2 linked regions of the Canis lupus familiaris genome follow. The protein of the gene in region 2 purifies or fractionates together with the protein of the main gene of each other region. This does not show direct contact. Links are inferred from orthologs where the notes say so. Each region holds a gene or a part of one and is shown on either strand. Other genes may lie near its edges.

Evidence for each region.
Region 1: the proteins of MMS19 (region 2) and BRIP1 purify together in Homo sapiens (affinity purification with western blotting; 3 studies listed by BioGRID and IntAct, with this or other methods). This does not show direct contact. The link is inferred for Canis lupus familiaris from reciprocal best matches to the Homo sapiens genes MMS19 and BRIP1.

What each region holds. Positions count from the first base shown.
Region 1 is NC_049230.1:34,941,986-34,949,508, reverse strand, and holds the end of BRIP1 (Fanconi anemia group J protein), read right to left. Parts: intron 6,397-7,523; coding exon 6,073-6,396; intron 2,227-6,072; coding exon 1,478-2,226; 3' UTR 338-1,477; downstream 1-337. UniProt on the Homo sapiens protein: DNA-dependent ATPase and 5'-3' DNA helicase required for the maintenance of chromosomal stability. Acts late in the Fanconi anemia pathway, after FANCD2 ubiquitination.
Region 2 is NC_049249.1:10,962,905-10,970,917, reverse strand, and holds the start of MMS19 (MMS19 nucleotide excision repair protein homolog), read left to right. Parts: upstream 1-2,962; 5' UTR 2,963-3,009; coding exon 3,010-3,121; intron 3,122-6,609; exon of another isoform or gene 6,610-6,697; intron 6,698-7,313; exon of another isoform or gene 7,314-7,390; coding exon of another isoform or gene 7,391-7,397; intron 7,398-8,013. Other genes in the region: UBTD1 (ubiquitin domain-containing protein 1), read right to left, coding at 2,064-2,133. UniProt on the Homo sapiens protein: Key component of the cytosolic iron-sulfur protein assembly (CIA) complex, a multiprotein complex that mediates the incorporation of iron-sulfur cluster into apoproteins specifically involved in DNA metabolism and genomic integrity.

The sequences.
Region 1 (7,523 bases), on a different chromosome or scaffold from region 2:
TAATGGAAATTTTTAGCTTCAGAGAGAATTAGATTTTAGAGAGAATAAACTTGAGATTAAGTTGGGTGATACACCAAGGAATGACTAAAAAATAGAAGATAAAAATATCTTCTATTCTAGTGTTTGTAACTTATTACTCACTGATCAACTAAGAAAAATATATAATACTAGGGATCTAATACATCCTAATCTATAGATAACTCTTTAACTGGTAAGTTATCAATTTAAATTTCTTTGAACTATTGTCACAGTTCTAATATCCAATGCTATAGAAAAAAGCTGTAGTCAATCTAAACACTTTCAAAATAAAAGCAAATATATACAATATAATAATTCATTTATCCAAATGACTATATAAAATACTGGATTGCTGGGAATTTTGAGTTGTTGAAAAAATAAAACATATCCAAACTGACAACTCACAAAATTTCAATTCGAATCATCCACACAAAGCCTAAAAGTCCATCAAATAACAGATGTTTCTTAGAAAAACATGAGTGAATGTAATTTTCAAGAAATAATAACAGAGAAGGGCATCTTTTATAACCATTGTTGATCAGAAATATAGCTTCATTCACAAACACGTAAACAGAGTCAAAATTTACAGAAAATTAGTGAGCATAAGAGAACATTTTTCAGTTGCAGTTACATGTTAGGGTTTACTTATAAAATTTACATATGAAGTTTTCTATCCTAACAATTTCATAGTTATAGCTTTCATGCTAGAACATGTCACCTTTTTCCACAATGAAGCTAAATAATTAGAACTGCAAATCTGGAGTCATCATTTGGCATTTTGTAACTACATAATTTGCTTTAAATGTGCTTGATTTTGGTTTATCAAAAACAGAAAAATGTAAAGCAATATCAGTTAAAAATACATAGTTTTCTTCTTCATTCTTAATTACTTCTAAATAGGCAGTTTAATACAGGAATAAGCTTTTAAAAGAAAACTTTGATTTCTAAAATAAACTGATTTGAGGTGAATATATAAAACATGACTGAGGTATGACTGGATTAGACTGCTATTCATTTTTTATATATTAGTATGAAAACAAATGGATGAATAGGACTATAAAATACAAATATTTATGTGAAATTTAAAGTGCCTCAGGAAACTATGTATCTTTCAGATTAAGTATATAGGTAAAGAAAATTTGTTAGAAGAAAATATTTTGTATGGATCACTCTCAAAACTCAAAAACAACAAAACTTACATTCTAAACATAAAATAAGACTTAAAAACCTCTAATACCAAAGAATTAAAGTGAAAAATATTTTTAAAATAAAAAAACTATACCATTTATCCAATGAAGGAGTTGTCATTTAAAATAGAGTTTAATACAAGCATGACAACATATTTTTATAGTATTATAGTTAAGTATTATTATCTAACACCAGGAACACACCTTTATTTTTGGAAGGCAACTGATTAAAGTTCTTTATATCTGTTTCACAAGTTTTTCCTAGTTCCAATTCATTTATATGAGTTTTTTTTCATATTACTATCAATGTTATCAATTTTACTTTCTTTAATATGCATGAGTCTATTCAATGTTGTGACTGTGCAATCCTCAGCTTTCATTTCTTGGACTGAATCCACTCCCTTAATAGTTCTAATTTCAAAAAGATCTTCAACTAAAATACAATTTGAATGATCAACAAATCTATTGTCTCTATCACTTTCAACTAGTTCATTCTTTTCTTCATTTGTATCCGCAGGATCATAAAGCTCAGGTGAAAAATAGATAGATTCATCCTCTGCTTCTGTTTCAGAAGCTCTATGTGAAGTGGAAGATTTAGCTTCTTCACCAAGTAGAGACAATTCAATGTCTGGATCCACGGCTTCTTCACAGCAAAATAGTTGTTTGGAACAATTTCTTTTAAGAAGAGTAGAATCAATCTTTACTGATGAAATGACTTCTGATTGAGAGCATGATGCATTTAACATCGGAGATGAGGATTCACATTTATCAGTGAGTGGCAAAACTGTTTTATAACCCTCTTCTGTTTCTAAAGTGGAAATGCTAGAGGCACAGTCCTCTGGTGACCTGAACTTAGGTCCTGCAGTCAGAATTTCACCAGTAAAATAACGTTCCAAAGAATTAAAGTTAGACCAGCTAACTGGCTTTGTTTGTTTGTTGAAGATTGGGCTTGTGGATCTGGAAATCACATTTTTTTCTGCTTTGACTGCCTGGGCAAACTCTTCTGATAATACAGGATCATCTACGAATACAAAATTTAAAAGTGTTAATTTTCTGCTTCTAATATAGTAATTTTTGTTAAAAATACTGAAATAACTGTATAGGATCCTAATTTAAAGTCCACAACCAATAGCAGCAGGACTTCCATATTAGAATATAGAGAACAAAATGTGAACTCTGAAAGGAATCTTAGATCTCCAGTGATTCTGAGCCCAAGTTATAATGCTGTCTGGTAAACTATCAAATTCCACACCAGGGACCTCAGAAGTCAATGAAAAAAGGAGGGGTAAAAGGAATAGGAAGAGGGCTGAGTAACGGAGGAAACACACTATAAAACTCTGCCTTAAAAATTCACTAACCAAGGACTGGGAAAAACTGATCTAGATTAATTCCCTAAAGGAAACTGGCAACCACAAAGACTAAATTATTTGTTTAAAGTTATAAAACTGGTTAGTAATCAGACCCAAACTAGAACTTAGGTTTCCTGATTACCAGTCTAATGGCTTTGAATTCACTAGGACATTTACTTAAAAAAAAAAAACAAAACAAAAAAACCAAAAAAACCCCAACCCAACAGGTACAACAAAGTAAATATTTAATGCTTCATATATTAAATTGTCATATATTAGTTAAAACAATTAAAATAATATCCAATGATACAGATCACAGTTTGGCAAACTTTTTCTGTAACTGGCCAGACAGTATAGATTTTAGGCTTTCTGGATCATATTACTGGCATACCTTCCTGTTTTTTAAATTTTTTATAAATTCATTTTTTATTGGTGTTCAATTTGCCAACATATAGAATAACACCCAGTGCTCATCCCATCAAGTGCCCCCCTCCGTGCCCATCACCCAGTCACCCCCACCCTCCCACCCTGGCATACCTTCTTTATTGTACTTTGCAAATAATGTGTTTTTTACAAATTCAAAGTTTGTGGCAACCTTGCATCAAGCAAGCATAGAGGCAACAGTTTTTAAAAAGCATTTGCTCATTTCATGTCTCTGTATCACATTTTGGTAATTCTTGTAATATCTCAACCTTTTTCATTATTATATTTGTGTGGTCACCTGCGATCAGTGATCTTTGATGTTACTACTGTAACTATTTGGGGCACTATAAATCACAGCCACGTAAGATGGTGAAGTTGGTAGACAAATGTTTGTGTTCTGACTGCTTGACTGACCAGCTGTTCCTCCATTTTTTCCCCTTTCCTAAGGCCTCCCTATTTTCTGAGATATAACAATATTAAGATTAGGCCAATTAATAATCCTCCAATGGCCTCTAAGCATCCAAGTGAAAGGAAGAGTCACAAATCTCTCACTTTAAATCAAAAGCTAGAAACGATACAGTTAGTGAGAAAGACATGTTGAAACTAAGATAGATCAAGCAGTAATTCTGACTTTCAGGTTTTATTATTTAAGAAATACACTTTTGGGGGCACCTGGGTCGCACAGTCAGTTAAGTGTCTGACACTTTTTTCAACTCAGGTCATGATCTCAGGGTCATGAGATTAAGCACTGCATCCAGCTCTGTGCTCAGCATGAAGTCTGCTTGTGATTCTCCCTCTGCTTCTCCTGCTCGTGTTCTCTCTCTCTCTCTCTAAAATAAATAAATAAATCAAAAAAAAAAAAAAAAGGAAATACATTATACATTTTTATAAGGCAATAGCTGCCATAGATCGGGATTCCCTTGATGAATCTAGGCAAAAAAAGTTGAAAACCTTCTGGAGAGGATTCACCATGCTAAATGCCATTAAGAATATTCATGATTCATGGGAAGAGGTCAAAATATCAATATTAAGAGGAGTTTGGAAGGAGCTGGTTCCAACCCTCATGGATGACTTTGAGGGATTCAAGACTTCAGTGGAGATGTGGTAGAAATATCAAGAGAACTAGAATGAGAAGGGAAGCTTGAAAACGTGATTGAATTTCTGCCGTCTCATAACAAAACTTCAATGGAAGAGGAATTGCTTCTTACACATGAGCAGGAAGTGTTTTCTTTCTTTCTTTCTTTCTTTCTTTCTTTCTTTCTTTCTTTCTTTCTTTCTTTCTTTCTTTCTTTCTTTCTTTCTTTCTTTCTTTCTTTTTCTTTTTCTTTTTTTTTCAGGAAGTGGTTTCTTGAGATGAAAGCTACTCCTAGTGAAGATGCTGTGAAAATTCTTGAAATGACTACAAAGAACTTAGAATATTACCTAAAGTTAGTTAATAAAGTAGCAACAGGGTTTGAGACGACTGACTCCAATTTTATTTTTTGTTTTGTTTTAAAGATTTTACTTATTTATTCATAAGAGACACACAGAGAGAGGCAGAGACACAGGCAGAGGGAGAAGCAGGCTCCATGCAGGGAGCCCACTGTGGACTCCATCCCAGGACTCCAGGATCATGCCCTGAGCTGAAGGCAGAGGTCCAACTACGGAGCCACGTAGGCGTCCCAGACTCCAATTTTGAAAGGAAGTTCTACTTTTAAGTAAAACAGTATCGCATGCTGTAGAGAAATCATTCATGAAAGGAAGAGTCAATTGATGTGGCAAACTTCAATGTGGTATTTTTTTTTTTTTAAGAAATTGCTGCAATCACCCCAGCCTTTGGCAAACACCACCCTGATCAGTTAGTAGCCATCAAAACTGAGGCATGACACTCCACCAGCAAAAAGATAATGACTTATTGAAAGCTCAGATGGCTAGTATTTTTTAGCAATAAAATATTTTTAAATTAAGGTATATACATTATTTTTAAAGACAGTGTTATTGTACACTTAAGAGATTGTAGTATAATGTAAATATAACTTTTATATGTACTGTGAAACCAAAAAATTCACTTGAATTGCTTTATTGTGATACTTGCTTTATCGTGGTGGTCTAGAACCAAACCCACAATATCTCTGAGGTACGTATGTACTCAATTATGCTGTTCCAGTACAAAACATACTATGACTAAACTCTGCTGTTGTGTACCATACGTAACTGAATAGACATGACTATGTTCCATTAGACGTGCTTTATGAAAACAGATGGCCAAATTTGGTCCATAAGCCATAGTTTGTCAATCCTTGACAGACTATTCTTGTGTGTGTGTGTGTGTGTATTCTTATATGTGTGTGTGTATATATATATGTATATTTTTTAAAGACCTATTTATTTATTTATTTATTTGAGAGAACGAGAGAGAGCCCACACAGTGGAGGAGGGGCAGGAGGAGAGGGAGAGAATCTCAAGCAGACTCCTTGCTGAGTGCAGAGCCCTATGTGGAGCTCAATCTCACAACTCTGAGATCATAACCTGAGCCCAAACCCCCAGAGTCTGATGCTTAATCAACTGAACCACCCAGATACTCCTCTATTTTTTACAATTATTTTTTTATCATTTAGTATAAATGACTCATATTTACCTAAACTAAGAAATTCATGTTTTTTACTTGAATACTGCTCTTGTATCTATAAATAGACCAATTTTTATTATAGCTTTTAGAAAAATATCTACCATTTGTACAGTATATTTTACTATGCTGTGATATTTATTCATGATATTCATGATATTCATATTATTAGATCTTTACAGCCCATCCTAAGAGATAGGTGTGTATAGATTCTTTTTTCTATTAAGACTCAAAAAAGTTACATGACTTGCTCAGGTCACACAGCTAGGTGGTGGCAAACCTTGTGAGTGGAGAACTACAAACTATGCTTAGATCTCTTGACAAAAGTTTGTTCCCATTCCAATACACCATATTATTTTATTATTTTATGGTAACACTTTCTATTTCAAACCGTGTTTTAAAAAATTAATCTATAGCACAATAAATATCATTTCACTGGATATAATGAAAGACTTCTCTATCAAATGTAAATAGGCAAAACTTTTCAAACCTTTTTCCTTTTTGGAGATGATGCCTCTTGGTAGAGGTGGACTTTCAGTTATTGTAAGACACTGTTGTTCTTGGACACGTATTTTTGCTTCACCTTTCCTAGGATTTTCTGGTATTAGAGGACTTGCTGCTTCTAAGTAAGTTAATGTATTGTCCTTCAAACAGGTCACTTCAAGTATAGACTCACTGTCTTGTGTAAACTTTCTGTCCTCTTTGGATACATTAATGACCTTTTGGTGCTTTCTGGAAAAATCAGACAAGGACTCCAGTGCACTTTCAAAGGTTGAATGGTGCTGAATCTGCTGCCGTATCCATTTGGAAAGTCCTAAGGAAAAAAGTAAACCCAAGGAAGAAACTGTAGTTATTTAGTTTCTTAAGCTATTATGTTTTGGGGCACCTGGGTGGCTCAGTGGTTGAGCATCTGCCTTTGGCTCACTCAAGTCATGATCCTGGGTCCTGCAATCAGGTCCAGCATTGGGGGGCTCTACACAGGAAGCCTACTTATCCCTCTGTCTATGTCTCTGCCTCTTTCTGTGTCTCTTATGAATAAATAAATAAAATCTTAAAAAATATGTATTAAGAAAACACTTAGATCATTTTTCTAATGAAGTAATCCACATGAATTTAGGGTATATAGAATGATTCTCAGTATTTTTCCTGCCTAAACATCTTCACATGTATACTCTGCTCATGTATCAGTAACATTTTTCTTTATGTGCAGTGATTATCAACTGGAGGGAGGGAAGAGGCAGAGGGGGAAATGTATTATTTGTCAGTTTAGGATAACTGGGGAAATAAGGCAAATTTAATTTCATCATAATTTTCCACAAATAATGCCTGCTCTTTAATTTTAAGGAAACTAAAAGTTGTAAACAACAATCAACAGTCTTCCATTCCAACTTTCTAACTTTGACTTCCTTCACAAAAATAAATTCAAGATTCCTTTTTTGTTGCTCTTCTCCCCCAATTCCAAATGTCTTAAACTATCCAGGGAATGAAAAGAATAACAATGTTATTAGGGACAAATCATGTCCTGTTTGTATATTTATTACATAATTCTTTTTTAATATATAAATAACCAAGTTATAAGGGATAGGATTTGACCTGTGACATGCGAGTAATGTATAAACTTGAACCACATAAAAGTATAAGTGTTTTGTTTAATTTCAGAACGAAATTCAAAATCAGACATTTGGATTTCTAAAAAATAAATATTCTCTGCTGGTTGGTATTACTAAAACTATCATCATCTTCTGAAGTAGTTTAAAAAGTCACTATGGTATTTTAAGTTAGAAGAAAAGTAAGACAGGGCTTCAAGTTTCAAGTTGTAATTCATTCATTTCAAATACATTCCCCTTTAGTATTTTTTTTTTTAATGGAGCTTTTCTATATTTAATGCAAATCAAATGGAGTTCTATAGTTAATACAAACTGAATTTTTTAAAAAAAAGAT
Region 2 (8,013 bases):
CTGTTTAAAAAAAAGATTTCTAAACATAGAATTATAGGATTCAAAAAAAGTTAATTTGACAAACATCTTCTGGGGGTAGGGTGGTAGGGTGCACAGTGTGCAGACATCAGATGAGTGACCGAAGATGAACTTGCTTTTGGTGGGGAACTAACTTTAGCCAGGGAGGTGGGGTAGACTTGAGATGACAAGGGAGTGAAGCAGAGTGGAAGGAGCAGGTTTGTATGGCTTCCCAAGGAAGAACCAGCAGGTCGCAGTGGCTGACTGGCTGAGAGGCAGAGAAAGCCAGCAGAGAGACATCTCCAAAGTATGACGTTAGGCAGCTTCAAGAATGGAAGAGTAAAGGGAAGCTGGCTGAAGGGAGAGATGCAGAGCTTGGTTTTAGAAGTGCTGACTCTAATGATAACTATATCAGCGTGTCCAGTGGGCTTTTACTGATGTGAGTCTGGAATTTGACAGGTAATAGCTGAAGATACAGTATAGGGGTCTCCCCCAGTGGACAGAGTTGTGGGACTGAGTATGATTTCTCTGGGAAGGTGTATGGGGGGTGGGGGGAGTCAAGCTGAACCATGGGTGTGCGCACATCTAGGACGCGATGTGATCGTGAACAGTGATCAGAGGAAAAAAGCAGGATAGTCTAATGCCAAGAAGGGAAGAGCTTCAAGCACGAGAGGATCGGCACCAGCGAAAAATGCTACAAAATCAATCATGTGGACTGAGCACATAAATAATAAGTATTTGGCGGGCAAATGAATGAATGAACGAAGGAAAGCCCTTGGGTTTGAGAATCAACTTTCCTCAGTCAGAATGGCCAGGGTTGCCAAAAGGTTTTTTTCAATGTTAAATTTTACCTCGTCCCTCCACCCCCCGAAAAACATTTTTCTTCTTCCACAAGTCATCCTGTCCACCACACAGACATCCTTCTCTGCTTCCCGCACATTTGCCCTCATCTTCCTTCCCAGTTTCCACAACCCAAGCAACACACCTTCAGTGTCAAAGGAGGCCGGAAATTCCAACTAGAGTTTCCACTTCATTAACAACCATGGCTGTGGCCCCTCTTACATAAAGGGATATGTGGCAACTGGGTGGATGAGGAGACTGCGTAGTAGCCCCAGCTGCACTGCTAACTCGCTGTGTGGCTTTGGGCAAGTGGTTTAACCTCTCTGGATCTGGGCTTCTACACAGACAGGAGGAGGAGTTAGGTCTATCTGGACTCCAGACGAGTTTGAAGGTCCCTTTCAACTCTGAAGTATACGATTTTTATCATTCTCAGAAGGTCCTTGCAACACCCTCCGAGAAGGAAGTGAGTACAAGACCCGGGGAAACGAACGCCAGACCTCTTCCCAGGGCGAAGCGCCAGTATAGGAGGAGTGTACCGAGAAAGTGAGAAGGCGCTGCCCAGCCCCTGCGGATCACCAGGGAGCAGATCCCATCCCCAGGCTGGGAAGGATCCCAGCAACCCCCAGCGATTCCCACCCCGCACCCCACCTTCTCTAGACTCCAGACAGCCGGGAGGCTCTAAAAAGCCTTGCGGGAGAAATAAAGATTTCTTTCCCAGAGTCCTGCGCTGCTTTTGCCAGTTGGATTCCGGCAGACACGATCTGCAGCCGGATAATGACACAGACAGTCTTCGGAAAAGCGACAGTTCTCGCTCGCTCCGAGTGCTGGGGACGCTGGCTCCCCGCGCCGTGCCCCGACGGGCCAGCCTCCGACCCCAGCCCGGCTGCCAGGCCAGCGGCGCCCCCGTCCCGGGCCCCGCTCCTCTCCGCCGGCCCCGCCGCGGTCTGCAAACATTTCCTGCCCCCGCCCCCGCCCCCGCCCCCGCCCCCCCTCGGAGCTTCCCAGTTGGAGCGAGTTGGGCTCGCAGCCGGGTCAGGGCTCGCAGTTGCCCCAACTCCGCTCCCCCCGCCACCAGGGCTGGGGAGCGGGCCCCCGTCTGGCTACGTAGCAGCCACTGGGAGACCCAGGCGCCGGGAGCCGTGGGAGGTCGCTTGGGCGGCCCGGGGCTGAGGCGAGGAGGGGGACAACTGGCGAGGCGCGTGGCCCCGCTCCCTCCCTCTCGTTACCTGCTCGCTTGCGGGGGTGTCCCGGGGCGGCCGGCCTCTCCCGGCGCTGTCTCCCCACGCAGTTGCCCATGCTGGCTCTTCAGCCGGGCCCCATGCACGGGAGGCGGCGGGCTTGTCGGCGGCTCGGAGCTCCTGTCCCGGACCGCGGCGTCCCGGGTCAACGGCTCCCGCCTCCCAACATCGGGCGCTCCCGGATCTCCCCCCGGGGGCGCGCTCGGCCCGGGCGCCGGCTTCGCCACAAACTTTGCGGGCGAGGGGAGAGGGAGGTGGCCGATTCCTCAGCACAGTCCCAGGTGGCCGGGCCAGGGGGGCCCGCGACGGTGCCCGGCCGGAGACCAGCTCCGCTGGAGGGGCGGAGAGAGGGGGCGGGCACCGCCGCAGCTACTCCCTGCTAGCTCGGGGCTCCCAGCTGGGGCCGGCCCCCCAGAGGCTGTCACTCACCTGCCTAACCCCGCCCCAGCCCGGCCCAGCTCCCCGCCGCCCGCCCGCGGTGCCCGCGCCTCCGCCGCCGCCCGCCCCAGGTGCGCATGTGACCGGCGGCACCGCCCCCTCGGACCGGGCCTGGTTTTCTCATTGGCTTCCTCCAGGTGTGTACCGCCCCCTGGCCCCACCCGGCCAGGTGACCGGCCAGGTGACCGCCCAGCCGCCCGTCTCCCGGGTAGCCGGGCCGGGAATCATTCGCCCTCAACGGCCCCCGGCTGCGTGCCCGGCAGCCGCCTCCCCGGCCCGCGCCACCGCCCAGGCCCCAAGCCCCGCCCCCCAGGGAGGGACCGTCCCAGCCCTCCCTGGAGCTGGAGCTGCCTGGCCGGGGGCCGGCAGGCACGTGATCCACGGACAGCCCCGCCTCTTTCGCCTTCGCCAGGCGATTGGCCCAGGGGGCGCGTGCGCTCAGAGGCCCGTCCCGTGCCGCCGCCCACTTCCCCTCCCGCGGTCTCTGGTTCGCGTCATGGCCGCCGCCGCCGCTCTGGAGGCGGTGGCGCCTACGGGCGCGCTGTGGGGCCTCGTGCACGACTTCGTCATGGGTCAGCAGGAGGGCCCCGCTGACCAAGTGGCTGCAGGTACGGCGGACGGCGCCGCGCGGCTTCCGCATGGGGCGGACCAGAGGGAGCGGCCTCAGGACGGCCGCCGGGCAGGAAGGGAGTGAGGGACGGCGGTGACTTTGAGAGATTGGTCTGGGGCTGGTTGTGAACACCGCGTGCTTGGGAGTCGCTTGCATCCTCCTTCAGGCGCCTCCACGCTCCTCATCTCGGCAGTCACTCTGCGCCAGCTGGGGTTAGAGTCCTCACCGGGGCGCAGATGAGGAGACTGGAGCCGGGAAAGGGCGAGAGTCGCACATCTGGCAGGAGGGGGGGGCAGGCTGGGACTCAGACTCGGGCCGTCCAGCCCAGAACCTGGTTCTCCCGCCGCGAAACCACGTCGTCTGGCGGAGGTTAACGTGAGAAGCAGCGTCTTCGGCGGCGTCAGCCGGAGTCCCGCGGCATGTTGGGAGTGGCCGCGCGGCGCGGCCTCTGACTGGCTGACTTGGAGAGAGGAGGGGAGAAGCCATCGGGGTGGGGGTGGGGGTGGGGGTGGGGGTGGGGGTGAGGGGAGGGTTTGAGACGTCCCGCGGACGCCCCTTAAGACGTTCTATCTCGTTTCTTGGTAAAGTTCTTGGTTAAGTTGCTTCATGACTTTTTTTATGTGGTGTTTGTTTTTATCTTTCCCCCAGATCATCAGTTTCCCGCTTTTGACCAGTTCAGGGACCTCATAGTTCTCACGGCTTATCTAAGATTTGAATAAAACAAATTCCAGATTTCCTTGGGAGTCAGAGACTTCAGTCTTTCAGAAAAAAAGAAAACGTTGAGTGTTAGGAGGCGTTCAGACTTAAGTAATGGAATACGAAATCTCTTGAATACAAATGAGTTTTGTCTCTGGAGATTTTGTGTGCTTGGGAAAAAGTAAAAGACCTTGCTTTTGAAAATTGAACATATTAAAAAAGAAAACTGAACATATTAACTTTTAGAATATGTGAGAAATGAATAAAGTGAATGTGAGAAAGTATACAGTGAACCTTAGCAGTTCCACTTTCATGCAGTCATCCCACCATTGTTGAACACATACTATTCTCCAAACACGATACAAAGCAATAGGAATATAAATACAGATTAGACTAGATCTGTGCCCACCAGGAACTTCTATTGTGGTGGGAGAGACAACCATGCAAACAGTTTTACCACACCATAAAATGGGCTGTATGGGGTATGTGCAAGGTGGCAAGGAAGCATCAAAGAGCAAAAGCCTGATGCTGTTATGCAACCAAATTTAACTTCTTACAGCTTTATAAAGTATAGTGTGTTATCAATGCCATTTCCCTCAGTGTTTTTTATTATGAAAAATTTCTGGGACGCCTGGGTGGCTCAGCAGTTGAGCCTCTGCCCTCGGCTCAGGGCACGATCCCGGGGTCTTGGGGTCGAGTCCCACATAGGGCTCTTTGCGTGGAGTCTGCTTCTCCCTCTGCCTGTGTATTGGCCTCATGCTCTCTCTCTGTGTCTCTCATGAATAAGTATTTTTTGAAAAAGAAAAATGTCAAACAAAGAGAATTTTGCAACAGGCAGATCTACACACACCACCTAAACTACCATTAACATTTTTTTTTTAAGATTTTATTTATTCATGAGAGATGCAGAGAGAGAGGCAGAGACACAGGCAATGGGAGAAGCAGGCTCCCTGCAAGGAGCCTGGTGCAGGACTGGATCCTCGGATCCGGGATCACACCCTGAGCTGAAAGACGTTCAGCTGTTCAACTGCTGAGCCACCCAGGCGTCCCATTAACAGTTTAACTTGCTTTATGGAGTATCTTTCCATCTATTTAAATTGCAGATATCAGTACACTTCCTCCTACATGCTTTGGTAGGCATATTATTAACTAGTTTGTTTATAGCTTATTTTGGTGTACAGTTTATATTCAGTGAAGTGTACAATCTTAAGTGTGACGTTCACTGATTTTGGAAAATGCACATGCCTACCCCCTACTGTTATATCAGTGCCATTTGTAACTATTCTTTCACAATTTATACATTATGAACAATAATTTTGGATTTTTCAAATTCAAAATACACTTGAGAAGACAGCATGGATAAGGACTGCCAAGTTCTTAGAAATACTTTTGTAAAAAAAAAAAAAAAAAAGAAAGAAATACTTCTGTAAAATTTATATTTTTTATGCCTGAAAAAAAATGGCCTAAACTACTGTCTAGTTTAAATTTTACTCAGCTCAACCAAGACTGTTAACACTACTCTTGTAATTTAGCGCTCCTGAATAGGAAAGGAGGTTGGTAGTAACAGGTTAGGATGAAAAGTTTTGGTGAGATAGGATTATGCATAACCTTGGATTCCAGACCTATTGTGTAGGTAATAGAAATCATTGTAGATCCTTGAGCAAGGGAGTCATATAATGAAAGTGAATTTGAGAAGGATTGAATTGGGTATTCTCAATCTGAGATCACAGCCCTAGTTAAGGTTTTGAAGGCTGATAGAGTTTTGAAGCATTCCCAGAATAAGATCTGCTTTCTAGTCCAGCCTGAGTCTAGCTTTGTTAGAGCTAAAGGGACCAGCTTTCTATTCAGCCACTTACAGCAGCAGCCTGTCCTACAAATTGTAAATGCAGAAGGAATACCCTGTGATCACAAAGGCAGCTATGACCGACCTTTAATTTGCACCTTGGCACTGGGGTTTCTGATGAAAGAAGAAAGGTGTCAGATATAAAGGTGCAAGTGATAGAAGAGAAATGACCCAGTAGGCTAAGGGTTAAAGACTTTTCAAAAAATAAAAATAAAAAAATAAAATAAATTAAAAAAAAAAAATAAAAGACTTTTCATACTAGAAGTTGCCACTATCTGGCCCCAGCCCTTACTCTTACCAGTCCCTTCCTGGACCTTAAGTGACAGGTGGCTGCCACATTTGCTATTCTCTCAGTGCTTTCCTTCCCAGTTCCTTTCACGATTTACATCTCATCAAAGTTAGACCTTGGATTCAAGGCCCAGCTTGAGTTCTCACTGCCTGCCCCCTAAGTGTTTCCTGATTACTCCAGCCAGACATCATCTCACACTTCAAAATATTTGTGGTATTTTTTTCTCAACCAGTCATTTATTAGACTTGTTAATAACCCCTCACTTAGTAGACTTGTTCAGTAGCTATTTCTGTGTATCTCTCCACATCCTATCATCCTGTGCCTGCCAACCAAGTCACCTGGAGACTAGCATAAGTCAGTATGCAGTAAAAAACTATCTAAGTGAATGGAATGAGAGATGTTGAAGGAGGAATCTGTGGAATTTGAGGCCTAACTAATTACAGGGCTTGAAGGAGAGGGAGGACTCTAAGATGACCCTAAGCTTTTGAGCCTGGGGATGAGCAAAAGAAAAGTTCTTTGTCCAAAAATGGATTTAGGGAGGAAGCTGATTTTGAAAAGAGTGAATTTTGGCCAGTTGATGGATATAAACTTTCTTTCTTTCAGTTATTTGGATTTTTCTTCATTTTGGTCTTTATTGTATTATATTTTCCCACTTTAGTGTGCGACCACTATTCCTGAAACCAAAAGATTGTTAAACAGCAGTAAAACAGTTCTGAGAAAAGTCTGTGGCATCCTCAGCAGAAAAGGTATTTTGAGAGCTTGATTAGAACGGGGTCCTGATTGGGATTTTTCTCTCTCCTGCTCCTTCACATCCTTCCCCCTTCCTTCATTGGCTATTCCTCCAGATTCTCAAGAGGCTGCAGCTCCATCAGACAGAGGTCTGATTGTGCATTCTGTCAGTCTAATATAAATACTTCTTTGAGGACTCCTCTGTACTCCACATGAACTGGTGCCCTGCTGAGAGAAGTGTGGGTAGTTAGAAGGTGCTGGTAGGTCCATTTTTAGAGAGTAAATCTTGGACACACTGGAAAAACTTAGGTCTACTGATGTAGGGAGAGGAACTTACACTTGTTTTTCCTTAATGCCAATGAGACTACTTTTAGGAAAATTAACTCCTTACCTTCTTTTATCCCAAGAGTCCGAGTGCATAATTAACAATACTGCTAGATATTCAGGTATATTTTGTTTGGTAGAATTTATAGTGTTAAGAGAATGAATTACTTAAAGTTAGTGATGGATGGTTCATAAACCCAGGAATTTTGCTCCTTTGTTATGCTAATTCAGTCTGTTTATATCACTATGGTAACCCTGAGCTTGTTGCTCTGTGATTGTTTTAAATGTCTTTCTGCCCCAACAGACTGGGCTCCTTAAGAGTTCTTCCTCTATATTCCTGTCTCCAGGCCTAACCCAGTACCTGATTTATAATAGGTGCTGAATAAATGTTGAGTGAGTAAATGAAAACAAATATTCAGGGGATCCCTGGGTGGCTCAGCGGTTAAGTGTCTATTTTTGGCCCAGGGCGGGATCCTGGAGCCCGGGGATTGAGTCCCAAGTTGGGCTCCCGGCAGGGAGCCTGTCTCTCCCTCTGCCTGTGTCTCTGCCTCTCTCTATGTCTATCATAAATAAAATATTAAAAAAAAAAAGAAAACAAATATTCATGACAATTTTGTTGAAGAATTAGGGAGACACACAAAAGGGGGTGATTTGGTTTTGGGAATCAAGAAGGGCTTCACAAAAGTTGACATTTGAGCTGGATCTTGAAGAATTGAATTTTGACAAGGGCAGAGAGGAAGCATTTCAAACCAAGAGAATGTTTACAGGATTAAGGAATAGAAGAGCTTGATGTGTTGGGACATGTGACTGAATAATAGGATGAAAGGTGAGGCTAGAGATGATTTGGGGGCTAAATTGTGAAGGACATCAAGCCAAGGAGTCAGGTCTTAGGCAGTAAGGAGCAAAAGGAGATTGGCGGGCAGAGAAATAATTGTGCATTTTAGGGCGGTAATTCTAGATAGAATGTGGATGAATTGAAACGGTTTTCAAAAAAATTGAGGTAAAAATC